6 linked regions of the Mus musculus genome follow. The protein of the gene in region 4 purifies or fractionates together with the protein of the main gene of each other region. This does not show direct contact. Links are inferred from orthologs where the notes say so. Each region holds a gene or a part of one and is shown on either strand. Other genes may lie near its edges.

What was found.
Region 1: the proteins of Nek2 (region 4) and Anapc1 purify together in Homo sapiens (affinity purification with mass spectrometry; 3 studies listed by BioGRID and IntAct, with this or other methods). This does not show direct contact. The link is inferred for Mus musculus from reciprocal best matches to the Homo sapiens genes NEK2 and ANAPC1.
Region 2: the proteins of Nek2 (region 4) and Anapc7 purify together in Homo sapiens (affinity purification with mass spectrometry; 3 studies listed by BioGRID and IntAct, with this or other methods). This does not show direct contact. The link is inferred for Mus musculus from reciprocal best matches to the Homo sapiens genes NEK2 and ANAPC7.
Region 3: the proteins of Nek2 (region 4) and Anapc4 purify together in Homo sapiens (affinity purification with mass spectrometry; 6 studies listed by BioGRID and IntAct, with this or other methods). This does not show direct contact. The link is inferred for Mus musculus from reciprocal best matches to the Homo sapiens genes NEK2 and ANAPC4.
Region 5: the proteins of Nek2 (region 4) and Anapc2 purify together in Homo sapiens (affinity purification with mass spectrometry; 4 studies listed by BioGRID and IntAct, with this or other methods). This does not show direct contact. The link is inferred for Mus musculus from reciprocal best matches to the Homo sapiens genes NEK2 and ANAPC2.
Region 6: the proteins of Nek2 (region 4) and Cdc26 purify together in Homo sapiens (affinity purification with mass spectrometry; 3 studies listed by BioGRID and IntAct, with this or other methods). This does not show direct contact. The link is inferred for Mus musculus from reciprocal best matches to the Homo sapiens genes NEK2 and CDC26.

What each region holds. Positions count from the first base shown.
Region 1 is NC_000068.7:128,683,809-128,688,568, forward strand, and holds the start of Anapc1 (anaphase-promoting complex subunit 1), read right to left. Parts: upstream 3,588-4,760; 5' UTR 3,345-3,587; intron 2,253-3,344; 5' UTR 2,229-2,252; coding exon 2,016-2,228; intron 856-2,015; coding exon 694-855; intron 1-693. UniProt on the Homo sapiens protein: Component of the anaphase promoting complex/cyclosome (APC/C), a cell cycle-regulated E3 ubiquitin ligase that controls progression through mitosis and the G1 phase of the cell cycle.
Region 2 is NC_000071.6:122,420,351-122,425,429, reverse strand, and holds the start of Anapc7 (anaphase-promoting complex subunit 7), read right to left. Parts: upstream 2,987-5,079; 5' UTR 2,853-2,986; coding exon 2,752-2,852; intron 1-2,751. UniProt on the Homo sapiens protein: Component of the anaphase promoting complex/cyclosome (APC/C), a cell cycle-regulated E3 ubiquitin ligase that controls progression through mitosis and the G1 phase of the cell cycle.
Region 3 is NC_000071.6:52,832,484-52,837,509, reverse strand, and holds the start of Anapc4 (anaphase-promoting complex subunit 4), read right to left. Parts: upstream 3,376-5,026; 5' UTR 3,247-3,375; coding exon 3,118-3,246; intron 1,833-3,117; coding exon 1,727-1,832; intron 1-1,726. UniProt on the Homo sapiens protein: Component of the anaphase promoting complex/cyclosome (APC/C), a cell cycle-regulated E3 ubiquitin ligase that controls progression through mitosis and the G1 phase of the cell cycle.
Region 4 is NC_000067.6:191,819,578-191,824,439, reverse strand, and holds the start of Nek2 (serine/threonine-protein kinase Nek2), read right to left. Parts: upstream 2,968-4,862; 5' UTR 2,795-2,967; coding exon 2,699-2,794; intron 2,294-2,698; coding exon 2,076-2,293; intron 1,949-2,075; coding exon 1,708-1,948; intron 1-1,707. UniProt on the Homo sapiens protein: Protein kinase which is involved in the control of centrosome separation and bipolar spindle formation in mitotic cells and chromatin condensation in meiotic cells.
Region 5 is NC_000068.7:25,270,588-25,275,594, reverse strand, and holds the start of Anapc2 (anaphase-promoting complex subunit 2), read right to left. Parts: upstream 3,130-5,007; 5' UTR 3,080-3,129; coding exon 2,918-3,079; intron 2,681-2,917; coding exon 2,058-2,680; intron 1,796-2,057; coding exon 1,663-1,795; intron 930-1,662; coding exon 755-929; intron 1-754. Other genes in the region: Ssna1 (Sjoegren syndrome nuclear autoantigen 1 homolog), read left to right, coding at 3,246-3,297, 3,467-3,666, 4,014-4,121. UniProt on the Homo sapiens protein: Together with the RING-H2 protein ANAPC11, constitutes the catalytic component of the anaphase promoting complex/cyclosome (APC/C), a cell cycle-regulated E3 ubiquitin ligase that controls progression through mitosis and the G1 phase of the cell cycle.
Region 6 is NC_000070.6:62,405,343-62,410,217, forward strand, and holds the start of Cdc26 (anaphase-promoting complex subunit CDC26), read right to left. Parts: upstream 3,284-4,875; 5' UTR 3,210-3,283; intron 1-3,209. Other genes in the region: Prpf4 (U4/U6 small nuclear ribonucleoprotein Prp4), read left to right, coding at 3,533-3,559, 4,233-4,410. UniProt on the Homo sapiens protein: Component of the anaphase promoting complex/cyclosome (APC/C), a cell cycle-regulated E3 ubiquitin ligase that controls progression through mitosis and the G1 phase of the cell cycle.

The sequences.
Region 1 (4,760 bases), on a different chromosome or scaffold from region 4:
GAGCTTCAGTTGGGGAAGTGCCTCCACGAGATCCACCTGTAAGGCATTTCCTCAATTAATGATCAAGGGGTGAGGTCCCCTTGTGGGTGTGCTATCTCTGGCCTGGTAGTCTTGGTTCTATAAGAGAGCAGGCTGAGCAAGCCAGGGGAAGCAAGCCAGTAAAGAACATTCCTCCATGGCCTCTGCATCAGCTCCTGCTTCCTGACCTGCTTGAGTTCCAGTCCTGACTTCCTTGGTGATGAACAGCAGTATGAAAGTGTAAGCTGAATAAACCCTTTCCTCCCCAACCTGCTTCTTGGTCATGATGTTTACACAGGAATAGAAACCCTGACTAAGACAACTAAGCAAAGAATAATGTGAAGAATGTGATAAGATTCTGGAAAGATGACTCAGGAATTAAAGGCTAGGCTCATAACCAAAAAATATAGAATGTGATAAGCCAAACACGGTGATAGGTGCCTGTCATATTCAGAGGCTGGGGCAGGGGGATCTCAAATACCAGTCCAGCCTGGGCTACAGAGACACTGTCATGATGGATAAAATGAAAATCTTACTTTCCTGCCAGACATAATGTACAACCAGCTGCTACAATTGTTACACTGTTGTTGTCATTTGTTATCATTTTAAAACTCAAACTTCTTTTCCAAACAGCTATATTAACAGTTGTTTGCTGTGCAAACTCAGTAAACTCACCTGCTGGACAGTGCTGTCCACTGTGAACGCTTTGTACACTGCCAGTGCCTGGCTTTTACTCCCTTTGCTCCAGATAACCATGTTCCCAGCCACATAGAGCTCTTCATCGTAGTCAGCTGCATCTCCAATCTCACTCACACCTTTTCTTAACTGCCAGCTTTCCTTAAAAATTAACACACAGGACATGCTCAGCACTTCTTCTTTTTCAGTAGTTTGAAGCAAGATTTGCCTGTAAATTAAGACTCAACCCAAGACTAACTCCTACAAGGATTGCAATACATAGGTGAGCACAATGAGTGAATTAGCAAAGTGGGCACATTACATCACGGGACTCTTGAGATAAGTTAAGAGAGGTAGGAGAGATGGCTCTGTGGTTAAGAGCACTGGCTGCTCTTCTAAAGACTGGGGTTTGATTCTCAGCACCTACACAACTGTCTATAACTTCAGTTCCAAGAGATCTGAGCCCTCTTCTGGCCCACATGGCCACTACACACACATGGTGCACAGACATACAAGCAGGCAGGTTTTTTAAAAACTGACTCAAAAATTCTCTATAAGAAGTACTTTATTTTATACTTCTATGTTCCTAGTATTGCTCTGCCAATAACGCAGGCACACAAAAAGTATCTCTTACATATAGAGTATAAGATAAAACCCATGCTTGAAGGGAAACTAAAAGTAGGTATTAAATGTATGTAGAAGGCATAAAATAGACAGGTGCACATAGGACTCAATGGGGGGACTTCCTTGCTTCACAGCTGCAAATATATTATTTATCTTCTTCCCCTTGTCCCACACATAAGATGAATAGAAGCTAAAAAGTTTCTGATTTCTATCTATCTATGTACATTCCAAGAGATTTAATTTCAAAGGCAAATACAAAGACTAGGTAAAGCAGAAGAGAGGGGCAGCTTAAACCTCCACGGTCAGTCTGGGCTACTGACTAAGGTCCACCTCAAAATAGAAAGTACTACTATGCTAACACCCTTATGTGACATCAACCCTCTTCTAGAAACATGTGTTGCAGGTACCACTTCTAACCTCTGGCATTTAGTCACCAAAGAGTATAAAACCTGATTACCCACATCTGAAGTGAGGATAAAGTTTAAAATGAGCCATGATTAAAGTACTCAACTCTCATTACAAGTTACACAGCATGCCTATGTAGGCAGCACCATATTTCAGCACTGACTGAAATGACCAAACATTAGCTTTTAACCAAGTGCCAACATACACTTATTTCTCACATGCATATAGGCAGCTTTATATTAGCACGGTATTCATTCTAAATTTCAAAAGTATGATGAGAATCTTAATAAAACCTTCTGTTTCTCATGGATTGTAACCTCCTGAAGAGATCCCACCAAGCCAGCTGCACCATCAGAAGACCATAACTCAGAGGCTGGCTGCAGCTGACGAAGCTGAAGGTTCAGAGCGTTAGGGTGGTGCTTGCAGTGGTCTCGGCCAAAAGGAACAAATTCCTGCAAATCCCCGGCTGCAATCATCGTTGCCCTTTCTTCAGAGAAGTTCGACATGGGTTCCAAATATGAACATTATTTCTGTGTGAATCCAAACGCATTCTTGTCAGCCTTCTAGTCAAAACTAAGTTATTACTACAGAGACCCGAGTGGAGCTAGGTCAGAAACATGGGGATCCACCTCACAGACATTTCGACACACGGCATGTAAAGATAACTAACATTCAAACATTCTGTGGCATAGTATGTGCCTTTTTGTCTCTGAGGAAACCTCTACAACAGCATTTGTTAGCAGCACTATAACCCTCAGTGTTTGAAATGGCACTTAAGAATAACAACTGCTAACTAAATTTGACTTGAAGCTCTCATCTAAAGTCTTGTTGGCATCATTTTTTTTAACAATCTGAAAGCCTCTAGTTTATACGAAGCCCTCTATAGCTACAAAATCTTCCTTGCTGTGACTTAAACGTCATTCCTGAAATGATTACGCCAAAAAACAGGCCCAAGTTTCTTTTTCACCTCCTAGAAATAAAATCAATATTGAGAACAGAACTTGAAAAACACATATGCCTTATGAAAAGTAGGGGCTTATCAAAATGTGGCTGGCCTTTCCAAATTCTATTCAACAAAGCAGTCAACATTAAAGAACTTGCAACTTTACCCGACGTTTCCTCATGCAAACATGCAATGTCATTCCCTTTTAGCTTAAAACGAACCTACAGGATAACTTTTTATAGCATCATTTTCTCAGTTAGATGCCTTTTAACCCAAAGACATCATACTTAATACTTTTACAGTTCTCCAAAAGTTGTTAAACGTGTTATTCGTTACAGGCCACATAAAAGCATTGAGTTGACATGCTAGAAATAAAACTGTCATTACTGGTTACTAGGAACATATGCAAACAGCGGGACCCTGAGCTGGGTCTCTACAAAAACAGGCTTTCCGTGCTTTTGAGTGAACCGCGCCACGGCGTAGCGGCCGGAGCATCGGCTCATGGCGCGTCGGGCCAACCCGGAAAGCCCAGTCTGATACTGGGGTTCCTCTCACCCCAGCAGGAGCTCAAGGCCAGCCCCGGGGCGCTCAGCCCTTGGGGCACCCGGTGCAGCGAAATTCCAACACCAAGTCGCAGCGATGCGCGACCCGGCCCGGCCCGACCCGGCCCGGCCCGCACCTGAATAACTCGGGACGCGTCAGGCGCTTGCGAGCCCCGGCTGCTCCCCGGAGGCACAAGGGCCGCGAAGGCCCGAGAGCAGCGACAGGACCGTCACGATGACTCCTCACCGCCCCAGTTTCTCATCCCTTTTCCCTCCCGGATGCCGGAGGAAGAATGGGCGGCAGCGGGACACCAAAGACTTGCGAACAACTCAAATGGCTGGAGCCATCTTGGATTTCCCGACCTGCCTCGCGCCAGGGCAGAGCCAGGCTGGGGACGCGCGGCAGCGGAGAGGACCTAGCGCCTGCGCAGTTGAAAAAGGTGTCTGTGCAAGTGCCTATAGCGAAGGCGGTCACTTAACGACGTTACCTCTTTAACAAACCAAATCTCTAAGATCCTGAACTACCTTCTCAATTGAGCTAAGTTAGGTAATTTTTTTTCCCAGCTGGTTGAGTTTCCTTCTCATCTCAAAAGGGGATGTGTGCCTCCTGGCTGATGAATGGGAGCGGAAGGGAGACCACTCATTTTCTCAGGATTGCATGGAAAATTCTCTACCCGGAAATCACACACCCCCACCCAAGATGGGCTTTAGTCCGTTAACTGTTCGTCATCGCTAAGAAAAAAAAAAAAAAAAAAAAAAAAATGGTGAGGCCTATCATAGCCTAAAGAATAAAGAGTTCCAGTCCATTTCTTTGCTCCAAAATTCAGTTTGTTGGAATTTGATAACTTCACTGTAATTGTCTATTGTGATACACATTTATTTTAGTTCATTCTCATCCCTTTTCTTGGAACGCCATCCTTCAGAGCTTGAAGCTGCACTGCAACAGGAAGGCTTGCTCTTAGAACTTGGTGAGCGGAATGCCTGCTTAGCTGAAATTCGCTTGCCTGGATAATCAAAAACAGTCAAATTAACACATATTCCACATGCTCTGCTCCGACCTCTTGATTCCTCCCCGCAAAACCTCCCTATCCTACAAAGGCCTTTCTATCACACACTAGGCTATCTGGAAGAACAAACAGAAGAAAACCCAACAAGGAGCACACGTAAGTGGCCTGTCAATCTCACTGCTTCCATTCTCTACCCTCTACCTCTTGCCCCATCACACAGTTTGTCTACAACCCCATCAACCCTACCAGGAGTCACTTGGACTAGGATACCCCACTCTCCACTGTGTTCTGAGCAACCAAGCCATTGTCATTCTCCTTGAGTCTATGATATCTTCTGCCACTGCCAGCCTAGGATGAGGGAGATGGGGATTGCCTTCTGAAGAGGCCGTACTTAGAAACCCAAACCGATAGGGAACAAACTGGTCGGTGAATGAAAACAAGGACGTGACCACTCCTAGATATGGTTGAGGAGGTTTTTATTGTAGATATTGAGGAATTGGGAGGAGTTGGGCTACAGCTCTTCTCTGCCGGGTGTCCTTGGTAAAA
Region 2 (5,079 bases), on a different chromosome or scaffold from region 4:
TGAGTTCCAGGACACCCAGGGCTACACAGAGAAACCCTGTCTCGAAAAACCAAAAAAAAAAAAAAAAAAAAAAAAGTCAAATGGGATAGATGGAGTCCATAATCTCAGAACTTGAAGGTAGGAGCAGGAGGATCAGGGGTTCAAGGTCAGCCTCAGCTTCACGAAGACCGGTGTGCTGGCTCAATCATCATTTAATTCCGACACTGTGGAGTCAGAGGCAAGTGGATCTCTGAGTTCCAGGACGGCCAGGGCTACACAGTGAAGCTGTGAGGTGGGAAAAACAGAGGCAAGCAAAGTACTGCTTCCTCGGTTTTGAACCTGACCCAACCACCATCCTTCTCCAGAGAGCACTGCTTTTCATGTATCACTCCAGAGACACTACTCGCTCGGCAAGTATGTTACAGTGTGTCTTAGTCAGGGTTTCTATTCCTGCACAAACATCATGACCAAGAAGCAAGTTGGGGAGGAAAGGGTTTATTCGGCTTACACTTCCACACTGCGGTTCATCACCAAGGAAGTCAGGACTGGAACTTAAGCAGGTCAGGAAGCAGGAGCTGATGCAGAGGCCATGGAGGGATGTTCTTTACTGGCTTGCTTCCCCTGGCTTGCTCAGCCTGCTCTCTTATAGAACCCAAGACTACCAGCCCAGAGATGGTACCACCCCACAAGAGGCCCCCCCCACTTGATCACTCATTGAGGAAATGCCTTACAGCTGGATCTCATGGAGGCATTTCTTCAACTGAAGCTCCTTTCTCTGTGATAACTCCAGCCTGTGTCAAGTTGACACCCAAAACCAGCCAGTACACAATGACCATTTCCCGGGCAGAGCGATATCTTAGGTAACTGTAAAGGCTAGATCCAGCTGCAAGGCATTTTAGGTAAGAATTCTACCACTGAACTATGTTATCAGTCTTATTTTGTTTTTGGACAGTGTGTACACTGTCTCTTCAACAAATATCAAAACATAAAGGATGAAGGTCAGAACTTATCTGCTTCCTGTAGCTAAGAACTTGCCAATCTAACCTAACGTGGAAAAGCATGGGTTAGCCCAATTCAGTCTAACTAGAGGAGGACGCTCTATAGCGTTCAAACAGTGCTAGAACGTTGTCCCGACCCAAGAGTAAAGATTAGGGCATTATCCCCAACACAGGAAACCATTTGCTATGAAGCACCACTAAGATTCTGGGGAAAAGTCCTCAACATCAACACAGAAGGCTGACAGAGACCAGTGTCCCTCGTGTCACACTAAGAAGCTGGTGACCGGGCTGGTGAGATGGCTCAGTGGGTAAGAGCACCCGACTGCTCTTCCGAAGGTCCGAAGTTCAAATCCCAGCAACCACATGGTGGCTCACAACCACCCGTAATGAGATCTGATGCCCTCTTCTGGAGTGTCTGAAGACAGTTACAGTGTACTTACATATAATAAATAAAAATAAATAAATAAATAAAATCTTTAAAAAAAAAAAAAAAAAGAAGCTGGTGACCAAATGATGTGTGTGCCTAGTCGGTCCAAAGCACACTAATGAATTGGAGTGGGGGGTAGTGACTGAATTACAGGCCCCTCACAGCCCTTTGGCTGTCTCACTAGACTAGCCTCAGCCACGCCAAATGCAAATGTCTGCACGGAGTAGAAGGCTACTGTAATGTTCTTTGGAAGCACTAGACAGTGGTGGACTGAAATACAAACTATCTCCAATCATAGACAGATCCACTCGCTCCTCTATGTTCTCCAGGGTGTGATCTTGGTCGACCTACTGGACCTCCCTGTAATAAACACATTTCCTTAGCATTTTTTTTTGTTTTGTTTTGTTTTGAGACAAGGTTTCTCTGTGTAGCCCTGGCTGTCCTGGAACTCACTCTGTACACCAGGCTGGCCTCGAACTCAGAAATCCGCCTGCCTCTGCCTCCCAAGTGCTGGGACTAAAGGCATGCGCCACCACTGCCCGGCTCAGGCAGCGGTTCTAAAGTGAAGCCACCGGTGCCAATGCTTGCTCTGAGAGCGCTCGGGCAGGAGGAGAAATTAGAGAAAAGGAATGACTAGGTTGACTTGCGGAGCCACGTCGAAGAGTGAGCAATGATGGGGAAATTTTTAAGCAAGGCCCTTACAGGCAATTCAAGCCTACAACTGTCCCGGGCTTCCTTTGAGACGCAGTAAACCCGGCTAGATAGAACTGTCACTCCATCGGTAGTGTTTTGCCTAGCACGCCTGAAATCCCTGGTTCGATCCCCAAGGTCCACACGCACACTGAGAGCATGGTGGGGGTGTAAAACACCAGTTAACCCCCCCCCCCCAGCTTCTGGGAGGCGTAGGCAGGAGGGTAAGAAGGTCAAGGTCTTCCTTGACTACACACACACACACACACAGCCTGGGGCAGGCTAGCCTGGGCTACAGGAGACCCCTGTTTGTAAACACAACCACACAAAACCAGTCACTCCCCGGCGGCAATGTCGGGCCTTACATTAGACTGCCAGGGTTCCTTTTAAATTAAAAAAAGGCGCCACCGCGCCCGCCACCGATGCTCTCAGTCTCGGAAAGTGGGGTCCCCTCCCTCCGCTGGGGTGGCACCCCCACGGCTGACACTCGGTGGACTGGGTCCCCGGGACTCAGGGGACTTCGTCGTTCTGGAAGGAGCCAGAACTCCGAGGCCACCGAGGCCGGATCCCGCGCAGCCCTCCGCGGGACCACACCGTCCCCCCGCCACCGCCAACCCCGGCTCCCGGGACCGCCACCTCCCCGCCTCTCCAACTCACGGGTTGTTGTTACTCATGGTGAGCAGCAGGCTGCTGAGGAGCCGCACGTTGGAGTGCAGTCCCGCAGCCGCCATGTCCCGCACGTGGTCTATCACACTCATCCTGCCCGGCAACACCGTGGCCCCCGGCGACACCGCGGCACCGGCAGCGGCGGACAGAACTCCCGGGAACCGAGAGCAGAGGCTCGGGGAAAGTTCCAAAATGGAGACGGCGCCGGGGTCCTTCCGGTCCAGACGCGGCTCCGCCCCCCGAAGATGGAGGTAGCCACGGACGTGCCTGAGTAAAAAGAAGCAGCGGCGAAAGGGTTTTCTCCATCATCATCATCTTCAAAGCCATCCCAGTAGGAATCGTAGTTTTGCTGCGCTAAAGACAGCCTGAGAGGAATGGATGCCTCGCGGAGGCTAGTAACAATGCACAGGAGTTCATCCTAAACACAGCGGAGGCGGAAAACGGACAGTTAAAAATTGAATTTTCGAATCAGGCGCGCAAGGGCTGGCTTTCTCCAACTACGGGAGCGTCCTAGGCGAAGGTGGCACGCCCCCCTCTCCTGGCGACTCTTGTCCCTGTCACTGGGAATAGATTCCTTGGTGCAAGGCATGGCTTGCCCGTCCAAGTGACCCGCTAGATCCAAGTGCGAAGAAAAGATAGTTACAGGGATGAGCTGGATCTCTGATCGCCCCACTGTCAACATCTCAAGCCTTTACGAACTCGTTACTGCATTGCATATTCACAAATCGCAATGCTGAAGCCATTTCCATAGAGGGAGAGAGCCGCCTCAGAAATTAAAACTGCATGCTCTTGCAGGGGAATTCGGTTCCTAGCACCTACCTGGTGGCTCACAACAGTCTGAAAGGCCAGCTCCAGGGCATCCGACTCCTTCCTCTGGCGTCTATGGGCACATACATGCATGTGGTGCACAGACATACACACTCAGGCATGCAGATACTCATAAAAATACATTGAAACAAACAAACAAACAAACAACAACAACTTGGATCTGGAGAGATGGCTCAGTGGTTAAGAGCACCGACTGCTATACCAGAGATCCTGAGTTCAATTCTCAGCAACCGCATGGTTGCTCAAAACCACATTTAATGGGATCTGATGCCCTCTTCTGGTGTGTCTGAAGAGAGCAATGGTGTACTCATATTCAATAAATAAATAACAACGTTGGCAGGGGGTGGTTTAATTCTAGCACTTGGGAGTTGGGCCGATCTCTGTGAGTTAAAGATTAGCCTGGTTTATAGGGTGAGTTCCAGGACAGCTAGGGATACGCAGAGAAACCCTGTTTGAAAACGCTTAAAACAAACAAACAAACAAACAAACAAATAAGTACTTTGAATTGTCAGTCCTTCTTTGCCGACAAGGAAACCAAAACTTTCAAATGTTGAAGCTGGGCAGCCTGAGAGTAAAACCACTTATCAGCAAGGCTAGTTTTGTAAATTCAATCCCCTGTGTGGGAGGAGAGACCTGACTCCTTCACGTTGTCCTCTGAGACAGCCGCATGTGCCTCTCACTCGCACAAAATAAATAACTACATGCAATTAAAATGTAAACAACTGAAGCTGTTTGCTTAAATTTGAGATTCAAGGCCATTTTTTAAAAAAGATTTAGTTATTTATTTTATGTATATGAGTATACACTGTAGCTGTCTTCAGACACACCAGAAGATAGCATCAGATACCTTTATAGTTGGTTGTGAGCCACCATGTGGTTGCTGAGAAATGAGTTCCGGACCTTGGAAGAACAGCCAGTGCTCTTAACCACTCAACCATCTCACTAGCCTATGACAAAGACATCTTGACCCCACGTGAGGAGTGGGTGTGGCAGCAGTCCCAAGAAGGTGCCCAGGACTGCAGCTAAGTCTTATGACTTGCACCTGACTTCCTCATACACCTGAAAATAAGCCACAACCTTCATGAGAGCTGCGCAGGTGCACCAGGATACTGGCGAATCCATTTTGGTGGAGACATGCCCCTGCTGCCCTGATTGGCTGAAGCTGCGTGCCTGGTGAGGTGATATGGCCTGCTGTGAGTGGATGGGGACTGAGAGTATATAAGAGTGAGAGGCCCGGGGTTAGAGAGAGAGAGATAAAGTTGGGAGAGAAAAAGATGAAGAGAGAGAGAGGGAGACTGAAGTTTGCTGAATAAACTGCTGTTAGAAGGACTGGTGGTCGTGTCGTTCTTGTTGGTCGAGAGTGGACGTGACAATTGGTGGCCCATTCGGGGAACCGACTCCCCCACCAACGAGTTCAGAACTTTCAGCAGTCAGTGTTTGCCAGCAGGGTAAGTTCACAGTAAGAGAAACTTACTACCCCAGGAGTTTGGG
Region 3 (5,026 bases), on a different chromosome or scaffold from region 4:
CACCACGTGGATGCTGGAGATCACACTCAGGTTTTCAGGTGTGGCAGCAAACACTGTCACCTGCACAGAGCCATCCCACTGGCCCAACCCCTCTGATTTTATATGTTCTACTCATCTAAGAAAAAGGAGAATGGCTATGCTTAGAGCATTCCTGGAAGTTCTACGTTTAGGAATTAATCCCACTAAGTTCTCCCACTTGCTCAGAATGGTTACGCACTGCTTATACAGCTGAAAGCCGACATGTGATAAGCATCACGGCCAACAGCTGTACATTACAGTATGGAGACACAGTGGTTAGTGTTCACTTAACATTCAAAGCGGCAAATCTGTTTACACTGGCCTGAACTAAGCCTATCGGAATAGATGAATTCAGATCAAAATGCACAAACAGATCTCTACACACATTGTCAGAGCTGCTCACCAAAACAGCTATCAAACAAGCTTTAAGTACTTATATTTATTTAAAAAAAAAAAAAAAAGAAAAAGAAAAAAACAAAACTAAGCAGGAGGACATACTCATATTACAAATGTAATTTATTTTTTTTCTTAAAGTACCTTCAGGCTTGCTCAACCTTTTGCCACAGTGATACAATGTAGTTAACCATGAAGTTCACATTAGAGAACTATGCAATCACATTACAAAAAACAAAAAAAAAAAAAGAAAAAAGAAAAAAAAATAAGAATAATAATAGAGAAACCCTCCACAAACAAAGAAACAAAAAAAAAAAAAAAAAACCCAAAGTTTTGAGGACGTTAAAATTTTGTGCTGGGCCATATTCATTGTTATACAGAGTCCCATGTGACTTATAGACCACAAGCTGGACACCCTGATAAACTTCAAGCTGCAGCCCATAGCAATTTACTATTCTAACACTAGGACTAACTGCTCCAGAAACTATCAATTTAAGAAACTAAACAAGACAGCACAGTGGTGGTGCAAGCCTTTAATCCCAGCACTTGGGAGGCAGAGGCAGGAGATTTCTGAGTTCGAGGCCATCCTGGTCTACAGAATGAGTTCCAGGACAGCCAGGACTACACAGAGAAACCCTGTCTTGAAAAACAAACAAACAAACAAACAAACTAAACAAGATACACACACACACACACACCCCCATGGAAGATGAATGATCTGAGCCACGACAGCAGGAAAAGACCTTTGGGAAATGTAGAGTCACAGTGCGCAGCCCCTCCTGAGTGGTAGCTTACATAGAGGAGATTTATGAACCTCACATTTAGTACTAACTGAATTTGGGGGAGAAAAAGACTGTGATGGCACTGAATGGACTCATGAGTGGTGAATGGTACTTGGATCAAATGATGTAGGACAAGAGAGCAGAGAGAGCCAAAGCCAATTATTCTGCAAATGTCTCAGACTTTGATCCTATCTGCCACAAAGCCAGGGCTCATTAAAGACTTATCCCTGCCAACAACAGACTTTCATGAAAAATATAAGCATTCTAATAAGAAAAAAAAGTCTCAAACTAGTACTTATAGTTCTAATATAGGGCCAGATACGGTAGGCCACACATGTCCTTAATCTCAGCACCTGGGAGGCAGAAGCAGGTGGATCTCTGGTTTACACAAAGAGTCCTAGGCCAGTCAGGGTTATACAGTAAGACCTATACAACAGAAACAAAACCATAATTCTAAAATATACCAAGAAAAAGTACTGTTTTTAGACTATCCTTTTGGAAATAAGAGATACACGTTTGTAGCATTATCATACGTTTGCCGTCTGGTCTCCAGGCCAAGCAGGTCACTTCTTTTCCTGTACTTTCATTTGGTGGGAAACTCCAAACTCGATGAAAACTTGCAAGGCGATGCAGCAAAACCTAAGATGAAAAGACATGATAGCAGAAAGCTGCAAACTCACCTGCAGAGATAAAATGAACCTAGACCCACAGAACAAAAATTTTAATTACTACTTTTGAGTATTTTTTTTTGCAATCTACAGAACAACAGTGTCCAAACGAATGTAAGACATTTTCAAAGAAATGGGTGAACTCAGAAGGCCCAACTTAGTCCTGTACTCTACATATTTTCTTTCTTTTTTTTTTTTTAAGGTACACCTACATGTATGTATTTGTACCACATTTGTGCAGTCAGTGCCCCAGGAGGCCAGAAGAGGCCATCAGTTCTCCCTGGAACTGAAGCTACCGACAGTTGTGACCATGTGGGTGCTATGAACCAAACCTAGGTCATTTATAAGAACAGCAAGTGCTCTTGATAGCTGAGCCATGTCTCCAGCCCCTTTTGTATCTTTTAAACTTACCTTTTTGAAAAGGTTAAAAAGCCTATCCAAGACAATAGACAAAAGAAGTAACACAAACAACATGAATATGTAGGTGACATAGTAAAATAACAACAATAATGACTGCACTCTTAGCCCACGCCTTAGCTATGTCACCAGCCATGGATCTTAGAGACAGAGCCGTGCCACACAACACGATAATGCAATCTGGCACACTAAGCATTTCTGGGTGCTAGGCCTTCCTTACCACCTAGTTTTACATAGGTGAGGGTGCTAAGTGGCATGGATGATGGGACCCTTTCAAGATGGCTGTCAGGTAATAGTCATCCTCCACAGAAAGATGGGTATCTAGTTGTACTTGATATCGCATGTTCACGTTCCTAATGTCAGAAATGCTAACTGACAACGTCCACACGCATTCTGTCTGCAATTCTGTGAGGCATCAGCCTTTCAACTTAAAGATCTTCTAAATAGCTAGATGTAACAAAGATGTAAAACCTCGGAACCAAGCATCCTCTGTAGCAACTGCACACACACACACACTTCCAGTTGGACTTGACAGTTCATCTTCATTCTCTACTAATCTGAAACCAACTTTGGGCGGGGTCTGATGGTGCATCCCTGGCCAAATCAATTCCTGGAGTCCTGGGTGTGCAGAACTTGGAGGGAATTTGTTCTTCTGGGCCATACAGGAAATGGAATACACATCCTGTCTGGAAGGCACAGTATTTTACACAGTCTCTTAAAGTTAACAGCCATGCTGAGATGTAGGGGCAGGAGAGATGTGCGATTCGCCACGTCTGCCAAAGGGGAAACTGAGGCTCGAGGGTCCCAGCCCAGGCGACCTCTCTCACCAGCTCACTTACCTCGCCTGTAGTGTTGGCCAAAGCAATGAGGTCTCGCTTGGGGGACCAGGCCAAGAAAATAATCTCCTGTGGCAGCTGCTTCTCTCCCACCACCCGAAAGGATGGGAAACAGGTCGGAAAGCGCAGCATGGGTGCGGCCCTGCAACGACGTGCGCGAGAAGGCCGCCGGAGCACCCGGCCACAAAGCTCTGGCACAAAGCCCTGCCAGCAGCGGTACCTGCCAGAGTCGCAGACTCGGCCTACTCCTAGCCAGCGGCCTTCCCCGCCCTCTCACTCCGCCCTCCGCGCTCGGAGAAAGCTTCCGGCGCCGACGCCGGGACGTCTTCGCGAGAGGAAGTGAGTGGCACAGCAGCCGCGCGCCGGTGGGGCGGGGAGAGCGCAGGGCGGGGCTTGATGTAGGGCGGAGCCGTGTGGGCGGGGCGAGCGAGTGCTTAGGGCAAAGTTAGCCTAGGCTACAGCGGGTGAGGGCGGGGCTAGAAGGGAGCGGAGCTAGGCCGTAGCTGGGCGTGGCTAGGGCGGAGCGAGCTCTGGTGTCTCGGAGGTCCCCTACTCTGGGCTGCCCGCTGCACAGCAAGTACCAAAGGAATCCTTAACCCTGTATACGCGGACGTGTGGGAACCCTTCCAGGCCTTTTCCGTTTGCTCAGAAATTCGCTGCTGTGTACACAATCCCTTTTGTTCTAGGTTTAGGCTCTAATCAAAACTCCGGACTCACACACTGGACCTCCTTTGGCACACAGTCGTTTTCAGCCCTGGATGCATTGTAGAATTTAAAACAACAAACCTCTCTATCAGGCAGCATTTTAGCAAATTAAAAGAGGGTTAACATTGGACGGAAATCACCATTTAAAAAGAAAACAAAACACTGAATGATTCCTATCTACAGACATATACTGTTAAAGTGCTTGCACCCTCCCTAACAGGGACAAATAGTGTGTTTTCTTTCGCCTTATTTAAATGATTTCTTGACTTGTAGCAAACTCACCACAGTTAAGAGGAAACAGGATTTATTCTGTGGCTATCTAAGCATTCAATTTTGTGAGAAAATGTGGACAGACACTGCCCAGGCAACCTCAATTGTCAATCTGTTGATCACAACTGCTCTGGGTTTTAAGTATAAAGACCACTCTGCAAGAAGGGAGAGCAAAGTAAGTCTACATTTTATCATCAGTAGTACTGTTTATCAAAACTGTTTCCCTCTGTCATGGTTTGAATATGCTTTGCCCAGGGGGTGGCACCATTTGGAGGTGTGGCCTTGTTGGAGTAGGTGTGTCACTGTGGGTGTGAGCTTTAAGACCTCATCCTAGCTGCCTTGAAGTCAGTATGCTGCTAGCAGACTTGATATGAAGTAGTAGAGCTCTCAGCTTCTCCTGCACCATGCCTGCCTGGATGCTGCCATGTTCCCACCTTGATGATGTCCGACTGAACCTCTGAACTCAGAGATCTGCATGGCTCTGCCGCCTGTAATGCTGGAATTAAAGGTGTATACCACCATGCCTGAATCTAAACTTAGCTGGATGGGATCTTACCCCCAATCCCTTAATCTTTTATTTCCTAGAACGTAAGATTCAGCTCCATTTCACTTCCTGGTGCCCCTTTAATATGTGAACCACATTTTGTATTTTTCCTTTCTAAACTTGCTATGCTTATTTAAAATGTTCTTCATGAGACTTAACCAGAGAACAAGGTCTCTGCTGGGCTTTTTTGAGACTTTGTCAATGCAATTAATATAAGTCTCTTTATCTTAGACTCAGGTAGACTCTTAAGACAAAGGCAAAAAGCAGCCACAATCTTCACCAAAACACTACAAAAACAGTTTCTGGGCCATATTGAAACTTTCCTCCACTGAACCGTCTTGAGCCAATTCTGAACAGTTCAAATCAATCTCAGCAACTAAATCTTTCATATTC
Region 4 (4,862 bases):
ATGCACCTAGGGTGCCTTATGATAGTGAGACATTTGGGAACACCCTGTAAATGCAGAAGAGCAGCAAGGACAGGACATGCAGAAATTAACACTAAACACTGGATCCCTCTGTGAGAAGACCTGAGCCTCACCAAACTTTCAGTTACTGTAATGCTAAATCTGTCCACCTAACAGCATCTAAAATCACCTAGGACACAAGTCTCTGTGTATATCACTAAGGGAATCTAGACTTAGCTCAGCTGGGGAGACTCACTCTAAATGTGGAGGCACCATTCCCTGGGTCTGGGTCCTAAACTCATGAGCAGTAGCAAGTACCTGAGCATCTCGGTTCACCTCAGCTGCCTGCTGAGACAGCGTGACCAGCGGTGCTTTAACTTTGGGTCCAGGACTCCGTATGTTAAAAAAATAAAATAAACACTCCCAGGGAGTCTGAAGTCACCACTTTAGGACTGACATCTTCGGAAATATTGTTGCCTTTAAACACTATTCCCAGCTGAGCAGTGGTGGCTCACGCCTTTAATCCCAGCACTCAGGAGGCAGAGGCAGGCGGATTTCTGAGTTCAAGGCCAGCGTGGTCTACAGAGTGAGTTCCAGGACAGCCAGGGTTACACAGAGAAACCCTGTCTTGAAAAAACAAAAAACAACAAAACAAACAAACACTATTCCCCTTGGAAACATTGTTGCCTTAAACATTATTTGTAACCCTATAATTTAGCATTTTGTGGTTATTGAAGAACAAAACAAAAGCTGAGCAACATGGTTCACACCTCTAATCCCAGCAGCGGCAGGCAGATCTTTGTGAATTCCAGGCTAGCCAGAACTACAGTGAAACTCTGGGAAATGGGGGACACTGAAGATGGCTTAGTGGTTAACAGCACTTGTTGCTCTTACAGAAGACTTGGATATGGTTTCCAGTCTCTCAATCCATCCATAACTCTAGCTCCAAAGAGTCCAATGCTGTCTTCTGACCCCCTTGGGCATTTGGCACACAGGTGGCACACTTACATACATGTAGACCAAACACCCATACACATAAATAAGTCCTTAGTTCTCTTTTTCTTTTGAAAGCTCTAGTTGAATACAGAGAACTGTTTGCCAGGAAGTCTCTTTGAAAACAAATCTAGGAGGGGTCAGCGATTAAGCACCTGCTGCTCTTCCCGGGGGTCCTGAGTTCAAGTTCCAGCATCTGGTCAGACGGCTCACAGTTGCCTGGAACCCTGAGCGTGAGTGTGTGGGATAGGGTAAGTCCACTCCCTCTTCTGGTCTCACCATACACATAGCACTCACTCACAAGACACATATACTATATATACATAAATAATAAACATTTTTAAATACATAATACATATAAAAGACTTTGGGGTGTAACTCAAATGCCTGAGGGCCTAGGTTCAATCCCCAACATTAGGGGAACAAAGTCAAACTCAAACTTAAATTGTATTGTGAATTCTGAGCTACTGGATTTACTAGCAACCCAAGCCTCAGTTCTTTGCATCTGAATGCTTCACCTAAGATATTAAAAAGTTGAATTCTAGGCCAGGTGTGGTAGCTCACACCCTTATTCCCGGCATTTGGGAGGCAGAGGCAGGAGAATCACTTTGAGTTCAAGGACAGCCTGGTCTACAAAGTGAGTTCCAGGACAGTCAGGGCTACACAGAGAAATCCTGTCTCAGGGAAAAAAAAAAAGTTGAATTCTAAAATACTCACAGGAGACATGTAATAGGGTGTGCCAACAAACGTTTTTGCAAAACTCGTGTCGTGATTTAATATTCTAGCTAGTCCAAAGTCCCCCAGCTTGACATTGTGTTTGCTGTCCAGGAAGACATTGGCTGGCTTCAGGTCCCGGTGAAGCACAGTGTGGCCACCATCGCTCCTTCTGTGACACTCTTTCAGGGCCAGCGTCAACTGAGTCATCACTCGAAGGACAAACTCTTCCTCCAAGTACTGTCTGGAGAAAAAGCACATTTCACAACCCTGAATAAAAGCCATCTTCAATCTGGGGCAAGTCATTCAGAGCGTACAAACATGGAAGTTAATTATTATTAGATACGAACCGTGGGGCTCTTTCACCTTACCTATCCTTGGTCCCCTTTGAAATGACACTAGCCAGGTCCCCTCCCTCACAGTATTCCATTACGATGTACAGGGTTGTGTTGGTTCGGTCAATAATGCGATCATAGTAACTGACGATGTTTGGATGTTTCAGCTCCCGAAGCAAGTTCACTTCAGACACAAGCATCTGCTTCTCCACCTCCGTCATGGAGCCATAGTCAAGCTCTTTCCACACCAGGATCTGAAATACAACATTTCCAAGGTGTGAGACAAAGGGTGAAATTTCCAAAGTTGAAAAACAAAACACTAACAACTCAATGGGTGTGTCAGTGAGGGAGTCGAGACCGGGTTAATTTAGTGGGAAGACCCACCCGAAATGTGGGCGGTACCATCCCCAGCGCTTGAGTCCGGGACGGCGTGTGGCGCAGCGGCGAAGCAGGTCACGTGAGCTCGTCTTTCTGCTCGCCGCGGATTCGCGCCTCCACCGGTTCCCAGCCGCGGCTGCCCGCTCCACGAGCCCGTCCCTTCTTAGGAGGCTACAGCCCGGTCCTTCACGAGAGTTCAGGTGGCCGCCCTGCCCCTCCCCAGCGTGGGCGACGCTTGCTTCTCCCTAAGCCCGCCGTGGAAGGGCTGCCCGGCGCCTCACCTTGCCGTCGCTCTTCCTCCGAATCTTCTGACAGCGGCCGTAGGAGCCGGTGCCGATGCTGTGCAGCACCTCGTAGTCCTCCACCCGGGACGGCATGGCGAGCGGCCACCCTGGCAACCACACCACCGCGCCGCTCGGAGCCCAGGCTCGCCCGCTGCAGGCCAACCGCGCCGAAACCCGAGCCCCTCGTCTGCCTGCCTGAGTCGGCGAGCAACCGGCCACCGGGTCAACCGTCGCGGGCTTCGGCCTCGCATTCTATTGGTCCACAGCGAAGGTGCATCTCAACTCTGATTGGCTGAGAAAACACAACACTGCTAGGCATCCTGGGAAAATGCGTGTCGCTAGGCAACCGCGTCGGCGTTGGTGTCTGCGTCTAGCTGCTCTACGGAATACGAGCCGCGCCGAAAACCCCTGGGATTTGGGATCGCAAAGCCTGTTGGGGCCTCGGTAATTCCATTCCTTGGCTGAAGTCGCTATGGTAACGGATGTCCGAGGCTCTGGACTGGAGACACTGGCCTTTTGACCTTTCCACTTTGACCCCACCCTTTTCCGACTCCTCTGCACTCGGGTCCTGAACCTAAGCCCTTGTGTGTTGAGGATTTGATGACCCTGAGGGTGCGGTGAGTGCACCGAGCACTTTATAGTCCTCACACCTAGAGAGCCAGAATCCCTGTTCCAGCCCGGCTTGGTGGCGCGCTCAGGCAGATCTCTGTGAGCTTGAGGACATCCAGAGCTTTGTAGAGGGTCCCTGCCTTACCCCCACCCGCGAGAAAGACACCCCACGCCCAGAGAGAGAGAGAGACAGAGAGAGAGAAACTAGGCCCAACTGCCCAGAAGAGAACTAATTAAAAAATAATAAGAATAAAGGATATTCATAGTAATAACGCAGAGTTGACATGTGTTTTCTGAGCACAGTTAGCATAGTCTAGATCTCTGAACATTAAACTGAGAGACCTGTTGAACATAGAAACGTATCCAAAGCTTAGGGACTGAGTATGGAAGCATTCAGAACAGAGTCACCACACTGCCAAATTGTACTTCTAAGACATCTACCAAAAAAGTGTGTTAGGAAAAAAAAAAAAAAAAAGGTGTTCCCTAATAGCCAATCCGGGAGCTGCATGCAGTTTGCTGACTTGAGCTCACATAGCCAGTGACATGGCCCCGCTTTGACTTGGGGAAGGGGAGCTAAAGGCTTCCATCCAGAGCAGGTGGGGGGTAATGTGCATTACCAGAAAGCTAATAATCTGCTGCATAAATGGGTCATTGTTCTTAAAATATCTGTTCATGCTGTGATTGAAAAAGAACCCAATGTCCTATTAATAAGAATTAGAAGCCTCCTTATGTTAAAAATAAATGTATTTTGTGCGCTGAATTTAGTATAAGCTAATTGGAATTGCCAGCCAGGAGAACTTTTAAATTAGCATTCAAGGACATTGTCACACCTCAAAGGGGTAGGATTAATTTAGGTCTCAGAAATTATATAAGGAGCTACAAATGCCTGAGGTCATTTATATGGTGTGTGTGTGTCATATGTGATGTGTGTGGTATGTTTGTGTGTGTGTCGTATGTGATATGTGTGGTATGTTTGTGTGTGTGTGTCGTATGTAATGTGTGTAGTATGTTGTGTGTGTGTGTGCTGTGTGTGTTGTTTATGATGTGTAGAGTGTTGTATGTGATATGTGTAGCATGTTGTGTGTGTGGTGTGTTTGTGATATGTGGTGTATAGGCGTGTGGTGTGTATGTGATGGGTGTACTGATGCTTATGTTGAGTTTGTTGACCAGCCTGCTTCACACACAACCTTTCATCTTCTTTCTAGACAAAGAGCTCTTACTCTTCGCTCCAAACACAACACACTTTCTCAGCTTCTCAAGACTAACTTGGTACTTGTCCTTCCAGTTGTTAGAAGTTCCACTTGCATCCCTACCTCGTGCCTTACCCCACCTTGGTTACTGTTGATTGACAGGATGTAGAATCACCTAGGGGGTCAAGCCTTTGGGTACACTTGTAGAGACAGCGTAGATTAGGTCAGCCTCCGAGCATGCCTGTGAGGGTTTATGTTAAATTAATCGAATGGAAAAGACACACCCTAAAAGTGGGCAACAATGTTCTTTGGTCCTTGCTTAGTTTCTTTTCTGTTGCTGCGAAGAAACACTATGGCCAAGC
Region 5 (5,007 bases), on a different chromosome or scaffold from region 4:
CCACCATGTGGTAGCTGGGATCTGAACTCTGAACCTTCGGAAGAGCAGTCGGCGCTCCCAACCACTGAGCCATCTCACCAGCCCCCAAACCTTAATTTTTAAGATTTAAAATGTTTCTATATGTATTTGCTTACAGGGACTGTTTGCCTGCCCATATGTATAGGTTCCATGTGCATGCTTAGTACCAGTGGAGGGCAGAAGATAGTGTTTGATCCCCTGGAAATGGAGTTACAGATGGCTGTGAGCTGCTACATAAGTGCTCAAAACAACCCGAGTACTCTGTAAGAGCAACAAGCCATCTTAGCTGATGAGCCATCTCTCCAGCTCTACCCTACATTCTTCTATATATTGACACTTGATTATAATAACCACACATGACATGGGGCCAGTCCTAAGTAGGAACCAAGATGAAAGAAACAAGAGTGGATACCTAGGGGCTGGTGACATGGCTCAGCAGTAAGAGCACTGAGCGCTCTTCCAGGAGTCATGAGTTCAAATCCCAGCAACCACATGGTGGTTCACAACCATCCATAACTAGAAACAAATAATGCCTATGGGCCAGAGCAAGTGGGACCAGAGCTAGAGGGAGAAGAAGGGGGAGGTGGATACTTAGAAGCACCTGCTCAATGCTGACCTAGACTCTGAGCCATGTCAGAGGGAGTCTACCATGCTCACCACCCTGCCAACAGCAGAAGGGAAAGCAAAGGCAATCACTGGGAAAGGTAGCTCCTGAAAATTAAGAGGCAGGACCAACCTCGGATGATGCTGAAAAGCTCCTCGATGCGTAGGGTGGCATAGATACGGTAGAAGAATCTCTGTACGTGGCAGCGCCAACGACGCAGTGTGTTCCCAGCTTCTGGAGAAGTTGGTCTGGTGGGGTTGTCCTGAAGGAACACTTTGCCAAGCCAACCAACCACTCTCTCTATCCACTGTGAAAGATCATTAGTGTGTGAGGTGTAATAACATTTAAAAGCTCCCTTCTGACTCAGTAACCACACACCTTTGGCAGGACCCTAGAGGTGCCCCAACCTGTGTGTAGAGGCCAGAAGTATCAAGTCTACACTCTACTGCCCAGGAGTTTCCAAGTTTACGACTCTAGGCCAAGACTGCTGGGACACCCACTTTAATCACTCCCCATCATGGCTAATATGCATCCACAGCAGATAGACTCTTGAAGAATGGGAAGTACGGAGTGAAGCAGAAACAAGGTCTATGGCTTCATGGGGCTGAACCTAGCTTCTTCACAATACAAACCATACCTCAACAGTATGGGCAACCAGAAGCATTCACTGGGACACCCTAGCTCCATGCTAGAGTGTACACTGGTTACAGGTTAATCCTGAAGGGAACTGTAGGCAATGGAAACTTGTAGGCAGTGGAAAGAAAAGGGTCTCGTAGGCCTGTCTTGCCACACCTACCTGAGGAAACTCGTTGTAGCTACCTCTGGTCCAGGATTTAAAATTTTTATTTTAAATGCACGACCTATTTAGTACATACGAGATTTGTTCTTGTCATCAGGATCCAGGACTGGCTTCTATAGACAGCACCAGGATAACCTCAACCATCACCACTCCTGGTCAACTTGCCTACTGTTTGGTATCAGGTCTACCACAACTCCACTTTTGCCTTTAACAAGAAACAGACCAGAGAGGTGATTCTCACCTTGTGAAACTCACGCAAAAAAGAGCGCTCATACTCTCCTCGGCAGCGGTCTTCCATCCTTTCCCGGGTCACCTGATGCAGGGTGGTTGTCACGGCCTCAGCACAAACCCGCTCCAGCAGACTGAGCCTATGCCTAGAAAAGATCCCCGCTCATGGAGAACCCACAACACACATCTGTCCCTTACCTAGGAGGGCTCTCCCCATAAAGATACTGCACACACACCCTATGCCTATGTCCAGGACAGTATAAACGTGATGAACAATAATCCCTGGTTACAAGTATGGGCAAAAAAGACATCGCCAGTTAGTCTATAAGCTCTATTGAGAGGTCTTTTGAATTCAGGACTAATGAAGCTTGCAGAGAAACCGCAGCATGGTTAGGAAGCAGTACTCACAGGACCTGGCTCAGCTGGTTGAACTGCTCCAGTGCCTGCCGGCACCAGCACTGCTGCTTGTCACTGCCACATCCTGCGCACAGAGGACTCTGCAAAAGTCGGTAGTACCTGCGGCGGGCATACCGGCTATCTAGCTCACCCTCTAGTTCCGGGTCTGTGCCCCCTTCTCCTTTTCTCTTGCTCTGCATATAGACTCTCAAGAAACGACCATAGAGGCGCTGGACCATCTCCTGGAATGTCCTAGGGGTGGAAAAAAACAGGACTCCCCGCAACATAGTGTGAACTTTCTCCCGAAGCCCCTGAGCTCCAGCGCCCATCAGCAAGCCCAGACGAGTCCATTTCTCTAGGAGTTCTAGGCTATGCAGATAGGGATCCAAGCGGCTTTCCAGCAGACCGAACGCATCCAGGAGCAGCCCAAGGCACTGGGGCTCATCGACAGAGTTTTCTCGCAGAGCGATGGCATTCCAGAACTCCGTGGCAATATTGCCTTGAAGGTCGTTCTGCAGCACTTCCACGAACCACTCCTCCAGGACAGAGTGCAGACCGTGTCCCCTCAGAACCTCCACCGCTGCACGAAGCTCTTCCTCCTTTGGTGGGACTGCACCGCTGGTCCGGGAAGACGCCTGGAGCACGGAAAACCGTGAGCAGAGGGGCGGAATAGGGGTAAAGGGAGAGGAGGGGCATGGAAAAACCCAGCAACCGAAGAGCTGCCAGGGAACCAAACAAATCAGGTAGCTGAGGAAGGAGGCAAGCCCACTACAGGCAGGCCACGGAGCTGTGAGGCCCCAAGGGTGGACCCCCTAAAGTATGCAAAGTCGCGGGAAATCTGCACAGGCCCGACAACCTTTCCCCGGCCTCACCAGCCCCAGCGCGGCCGGCGGCACCAGACCGGTGCTCACAGTATTCCAGGCAACCAAGAGCTCCTGTCCAGGCCTAGAGTCGCAGTCATCGGAGGCAATAATTGTCGCCGCCGCCGCCGCCGCCGCCGCCGCCGCCGCCACCGCCACACCCTCGGCCTCCATCACTGTCCACAAAACAGACCCGCCCAGTAGAGCGCACGGTGATGACGCAAGCGCGGACCTGTGGCGCAGCCGTGACGTTCACCAGCCCGCGCGCTTTGTGGGCAGTGCGCAGGTGCGGACTTAGCTGTGCAGGCGGCGGTTGAGGCTTCCGGACGCGGTGCAGACCATGACCCAACAGGGCGCGGCGCTGCAGAACTACAACAACGAGTTGGTCAAGTGTGAGCGTCGGGCACTGAAGGCCGCGGGCCGGGGCCGGCCGACCCACTCGGGAGGCTGCGTGGACATGCCTCACGAGCCCCGCTCTGCGGCCTGCCCCTCTGTCATTGCTGGTTGGGGTCGGAAGCTCACGAGTCCCCACCCACAGCTCTGTCTTCCCACCCACCCTAGGCATCGAGGAGTTGTGTCAGAAGCGAGAGGAGCTGTGCCGGCAGATCCAGCAAGAGGAGGACGAAAAGCAGCGGCTACAGAATGAGGTGAGGCAGCTCACGGAGAAGTTGGCCCGCGTCAACGAGAACCTGGCGCGCAAGATCGCCTCTCGCAACGAGTTTGACCGGACCATCGCAGAAACCGAGGCCGCCTACCTCAAGGTGGGGCTCTCAGATGTCTGTTGTGAGTGCCTTACTACCATCTGAGGCTAGGTAGGGCCCATTGTGGTTCAGAGGCTGTAGGTGGAACAGTGGGCTGTCTGTGGGTTCCAAAAGTGAGCATTGGTGTATTGGACAGAGTACACGGTGTGGGCCTGAATTAACCCAGCCTGGCTTTGCAGGGTGGAAGAGCTCTGGGACAGGTGCAGAAGGGAGGATGGTTTTACTCCATAACCAGTTGGCTACAGCACAGATGACCAAATTGAGATTTCCATCCTCCATTATTAGAGCCTGAGGCAATGGGACCTTCCTACCAGAGAAATAACATCCTTTTATTTCTCTGGCCCCAGATCCTGGAGAGCTCTCAGACTCTGCTTAGTGTACTCAAAAGAGAAGCTGGGAACCTGACTAAAGCCACAGCTTCAGACCAGAAGAGTAGTGGAGGCAAGGACAGCTGACGAGTGCCTGTTTCAGCCGTGGCCTATGGCTGCTTAGTCCTCAACATGTCTGTCCTAAAGCATCTTTGTTCTTCGTGGCCTCAGATGTCTTTTATCTCTGGTGCCCAGAGGGGCAATTTCTGACCTCCACCTGCCTAGACAAGAAAAGCCCTAGGACAGTCCAATGGAAGAGGTGTTCCCAGCTCCGTACTCACATGTGCTGTGGGGACCCTGAGCAGCTCCATGAGGGGCCTCTCTCTGAAGCTCCTGAATCCCTTTGGGCTACCAGGAATGTCCTGGTCCTGGTCTGAGTACTGTGGGAGCCCCTCACTTTGTCTCCCCAGCCACTAGGGCCCCAGGCCAGACATGTTGAAGAAAGAATCTTGACTCCAGAACCAAAACCTTAGGGCCCATCCCCATGGCCTCTGGTGTTTCAATAAAGGTTGTTTTGCAAGATCTGTGTCTGCTAGCTACCATATATCCTGTTGGTAAGAAGACCTGCAGTTTTTCCCTTTCTTATCTTCAAAACACAAAATGCTGAAAGTACTCACCTCACACAGGTCAGCCCTAGCCCTTAACTCTCTTTGCAAAGGTGCTGGTGTTTTCCCCAAGTCCAGAACACAAACCACTTTTCTGTGAGGGGCTTTGCTCTACGATGGTGCTCAATACAGAACCTGGCTCAGAGATAGAGACAGGGACAGTAAGTTCTGTTTGGTCCAATCTGCTGCTGCTGCTGTTAGGACCCATCTTCCAACCACATGTGTTGCTTACTTACTATTTCCATGTGCCCTATGACCCAGCCCTTTGTCACAGCTTCTGGGGAAAGTTTGGAAGTATTTGGTGACCAAAAAGATCCAGAAAACAGCTGTGGTAGTTTACACCTGTCATCCTTCGTTGAGGAAGAAGG
Region 6 (4,875 bases), on a different chromosome or scaffold from region 4:
TAGTTGCAAGGGTAGAGGGTGGATACGAAGGGACAGGGAGACGAGTGGGATTGGGGTGCCTGATGTGACATTCAAAGAATCAACAAAAAGCTAGGCTGACCTTAGTACTGTTGAAGGTATCGTCTTTATATCCTCTACAGTATCCATGATAAATAAAGTTTTGGAGTAAACTGAGCTACACAACAATAGAGAAGGTGAAACTAACTTGTCGGGCAGTGAGAGGTAGCCTGGTCCTCAGTTGAGCTAAAAAGGCTTTGAAGCCCTGGGGACCCTGAAGAGATGGTAGGTAGGACCTTCGCCTGCTCCCAGGCACCAGGCCCCTGTCACTAACTGCAGTCCCCCATAGATTTGTGGCCATCAGTCATGTAAGGGCAATGCCCCAAGCCCCCCACCCCCAACATAGATGAGGCATCACTAACATCTCAGACCAAGACAAGAGGAAAAGAAACGTGACCACCATAGGATCAAGCCAGATCTCCATTCTAATGAGTTGCCTAAAGGCCTGGAGGGCATAAGCAATAAGCTTTCCTTCCCAGACACTCCTCCCTGCAAAATGTATTTAACCTCAGGCCCACCCTGAGAAGTGGGGGCATGATTTTATACATCCACTTTCCTCTATGACAATAAATGCCTTACTACTATGGACTGCCTCTTTTCATCGGGATCCACCATGGGGAGCCATGGAGAAGGCCTTCGACTATAGAGCCACTGTCTAGTCCTGTAGAAGGCCTTTCTGCACTCCCAGCCACCACTGCCCACCAAGCCCAAGCCCAAGCCTGCAGTCAAGCCAAGGACTCTCCCCGTGTGACCAGCCATTGTTCCCCTTCCCCCCACCACACACAGCCAGCCAGCTGCTCCCCCACTCCATTCTCAGCTCTTCTGGGGCTCCCAGCGGGGCCTGGATGTTGGAAAGCCTGAGAACCGACCACCCCAGCCTCATCACAAGCAGGCAGACCCCCAAACCAGCTCCCACTGTTCCATGCCTCAGACTGCCCGCTTTCCCACCAGCAATGTCCTGGGGCTTCCCTATGGCCCAGCACCAGCCCTGAGCTGGCATGAGGTAAGTGCAGTCAAACTCCCTGTGTCCTGCCTCCCCAAGCTGCAGAGCAGACTCAAGACCCACAACCCTACACTAACTTTTCTTAAGTTCTAGACTCTACCATTATTGGGTTTTTTTTTTTCACTTTAGTAACTAAAAATTTTTGCCTCTTAAAAAAATTATTTAATTATGTATTGGGTGTTGGTGAAAGCACACAATTCACAAGCATCGGTCAGAGGACAACATCTGGGGTCAGTTCTCTCCTTCTACCATGTGGGGCATCACACTTAGCACAGGTTCCTTTACCCACTAAACCGTCCCACATTCGCATTCTTTGTATTATTTTAATACAGACACCTTGGGAAACTTGAAAAATTATTCCAGTTTTATAAAGTTGAAGCAAACAGTTTAGTTAATATCAGAAGCCGGGCAGTAGTGACACACACCTTTAATCCCAGCACTCTGAAGTCAGAGGCAGGAGGATGTCTGTAAGTTTGAGGTCAGCCTGGTCTACAGAACATGTTCCAGGACAGCCAGGGCTACACAGAGAAACCCTTCTTGAAAAACAAAAAATGTGGGCTGGAGAGATGGCTCAGCAGTTATGAGCACTGATTGCTCTTCCAGATATCCTGAGTTCAAATCCAGCAACCACATAGTGGCTCACAACCATCCGTAATGAGATCTGACACCCTCTTCTGGTGTGTCTGAAGACAGCTACAGTGTACTTACATATAATAAATAAATAAATCTTTGGGCTGGAGCAAGCAGGGAGAGCGGGGCCTGAGCAAAAAAAAGAAAAACAAAAAACAAAACAAAACAAAAAAAAAGCTAAATCAGCATTCTATAAAAGTTACACATAGGGGCTGGAGAGATGGCTCAGTGGTTAAGAGCATTGACTGCTCTTCCAGAGGTCCTGAGTTCAATTCCCAGCAACCACATGGTGGCTCACAACCATCCGTAACAAGATCTGGCGCCCTCTTCTGGAGTGTCTGAAGACAGCTAGTGTACTTACATATAATAAATAATTTAAAAAAAAAAAAAAAAACAAAGTTACACTTAGACCACTAAAATAAAAAGCTAAATGATAGTGATCTACATGAAAGTTTTGCTATAGTGTGCATTCATAGAAATTATTATTGCGTGCATCCAGAACGAAACAAAACACTACAATGTATAGGAAACATTTACACTTCTCTCAGGAGGCTTAGCACAGCAAGGGGTGATCTAATCAAAACACTGGCCCGTGACATTTCAAAACTGCTTTATTCTATCAGATACTACTTTCTACCAGATCCTTACGTAGAGAAATGGAAGTCAGCTCCAAGGGGGAAAGGAAGAAACACTTAGAAAAACAACAACAACAACAATAATTCCCTACTTGCGAGGGAACTTTCTGAAAGCCTCACCACTAGAGAGCAATAATGAGTACGAGTTAAAAGCGCGGCTCGGCGGCTCGCGACCTGCCACGTTACTAATTCTACTACTACGGCTCCAGAACGACCTTTTCTCACCAGAATGTTTTTTGGTTTTTTTCGGGCTTGTACTCTTGTCCGTGACTGAGATGACTAAAACAGAATAAGCTCGTTGCGCGTAACTCGGCATTAGTAAGTCCTCGAAAAGGAAGTGCTCTTCTAATTGGAGTTGTTCGGGGCAGGGCCTTGAGTGTGGAAGTGAGTCTGTTCAGCTCGGCAAACGCGCATATTTTTGTAACCCCCACAACTTTCATGTAAGGATTTTTTTTTTAAAAAAAACCTTATCTCTGATGGCCTAACATTCATTGGAGCTACTACTGCTGATATGCTCTTTATCTGGAGCCTTCATGGACCCTTTATTTCAAAGAACACAGACAAAGAATAGGCTGTAGACAAGTAAACCCACAACAAACTAGGCCGCAGCTCCTCCACCACATCTCTATTTTAGCCTTAGAAGGTCTTAGAGTTTAATATCTTCTTGAAGCCCAAACTGATTACGTAGCCACCGAGTTACGAGGGGCCCCCGAAGGACTTCCGTCGTGGACAACAGTCCTCTTTCCCAGCTCCAAGGCTGCAGAAGTCTAGGGAGAGATTTCCATGGCAACACAGGCCTCAGCTTCGAAATGGCGGAAGGCCTCCCGAAGGATAACAGAGACCCTCGTTTTGTTCCAGATTATGGTTGCGATCCGCAAACCTACCTCTTTTCAGGCCTCTGCAGTTCCCCAGAACCTCAACTCCCACCATGACTCCATTGCTGCGCAGCCCAAACTACACCTCCCAGGCTGCTCTGCGCCTCTCTTCCCATGCTCCTCTTCTCCCGCGAGGTTGTGTAGCTCTGTAAGGCCACGCCCCTCGACTCCAGCCGACCTTTGGCAACTACCATTCCCAAGATACTTCGCACGTAGTACGTTTCTGATACGTTTCCGGCCAGTGACGCACTTCCACTTTGCTAGGCGCGCGGTTCCCGGTCTGAAAAGTAGAACGCGGATTTGGCTAGGGCCTCGCGTCTCCGCCGCCCGGCATGGCCTCCTCACGAGCCTCCTCCACGGTACGGAGCTCTGGATCTAAGCTCAGGCCTGCCCTAGAGAGGCCGGGGGTTCCCGTGGGAAAGGGCCGTTACCTTACGGGTCTGGGCCGAGGAGGAGGAAAGCTGAGGGACCCTAGTGTGGACCTTAGTAGCCTTTTCCTGATGTCTTCGTGTGCTGCAGCTCTCTTTGCACTGCTCTTACTTAAGTCCTGAGCAGAGACCACTCTTTCTGGCTGCTCCAAAACACGGTGCTTTGGAATCGGGTTGTGTCCTGACTTAAGCTGTCCGACTCGTACTTACTATGATGAGGCTTCCCAACTTGTAATCGGCTCTGAAAGTATTTGAAATGTGTATTCCAGTCACATCGTGACTTGGTGCACCTAGAGCCACCCTGATTGTTTAGGTTGTTTTTAGTGTCTGCCCAGCAGTGAGAAGTTATTTTCGTAAAACCGGAGATTGCTTTTCCAGTCGATTAAAGTAACGGGCCCCAAAACAACCAAGACACTTCAGGCAGAAATTGATTGGTCGTATTTGTGTGCCAAACTTAACAAGAGCCTTAACTCGCACAAAGTCAGTTTCGACTTTCTCCTCTAGTTTTGAGAGGAAAGAAGATGAAAGTGCAGCGTTAGCTTCATTCTTTTGGGAAGCATGGTTTGCTGGAACTAAACCTTAGTCCGGGTCTTTGATTTAACAGACAACCAAAACCAAAGCGCCTGACGATTTAGTTGCTCCCGTTGTGAAGAAACCACACATCTACTATGGAAGCTTGGAAGAGAAAGAGCGGGAACGCCTGGCCAAAGGAGAGTCTGGGATTTTGGGAAAAGAAGGACTCAAAGCCGGCATTGAAGCAGGAAATATTAATATAACATCCGGTAAGATGCAAATTGCAGGTCATTACCCCCACACACACACCCTTTTTTAAACAGTGCTGGGAATCCAACCCGGGTTTTTTTTTTTTTTTTTTTGCATGCTAGGCAACTGTTCTGCCACTGAGCCATACATTTCCATCTCCCCCCACCCCCCACAGTCTCTTACCTTTGACCTCAAACTCCTCCTGCCTCCTTCCTGGTCGCCACCATGTACTTTTGATGATTCAATATTCTGATGAACACCTTCCCAAACCACATAGTATTAGGTTTATAGGCCAAAACCTTCTATTGGTCTGGGGAGCTAGTTCAGGTGCCAAAAGCTTTTCTCTGTGACCATTAGGACCTGAGACTGAGCCCCAGAACCCATGTTTTTTTACTGGCTTGTTTTTCCTTTTTCTAAAAAAAAAAAAAAAAAAAGTCAATGTGGTGGTACCTACTTAGAATGAAATGTTGGGAAGACATACTTGC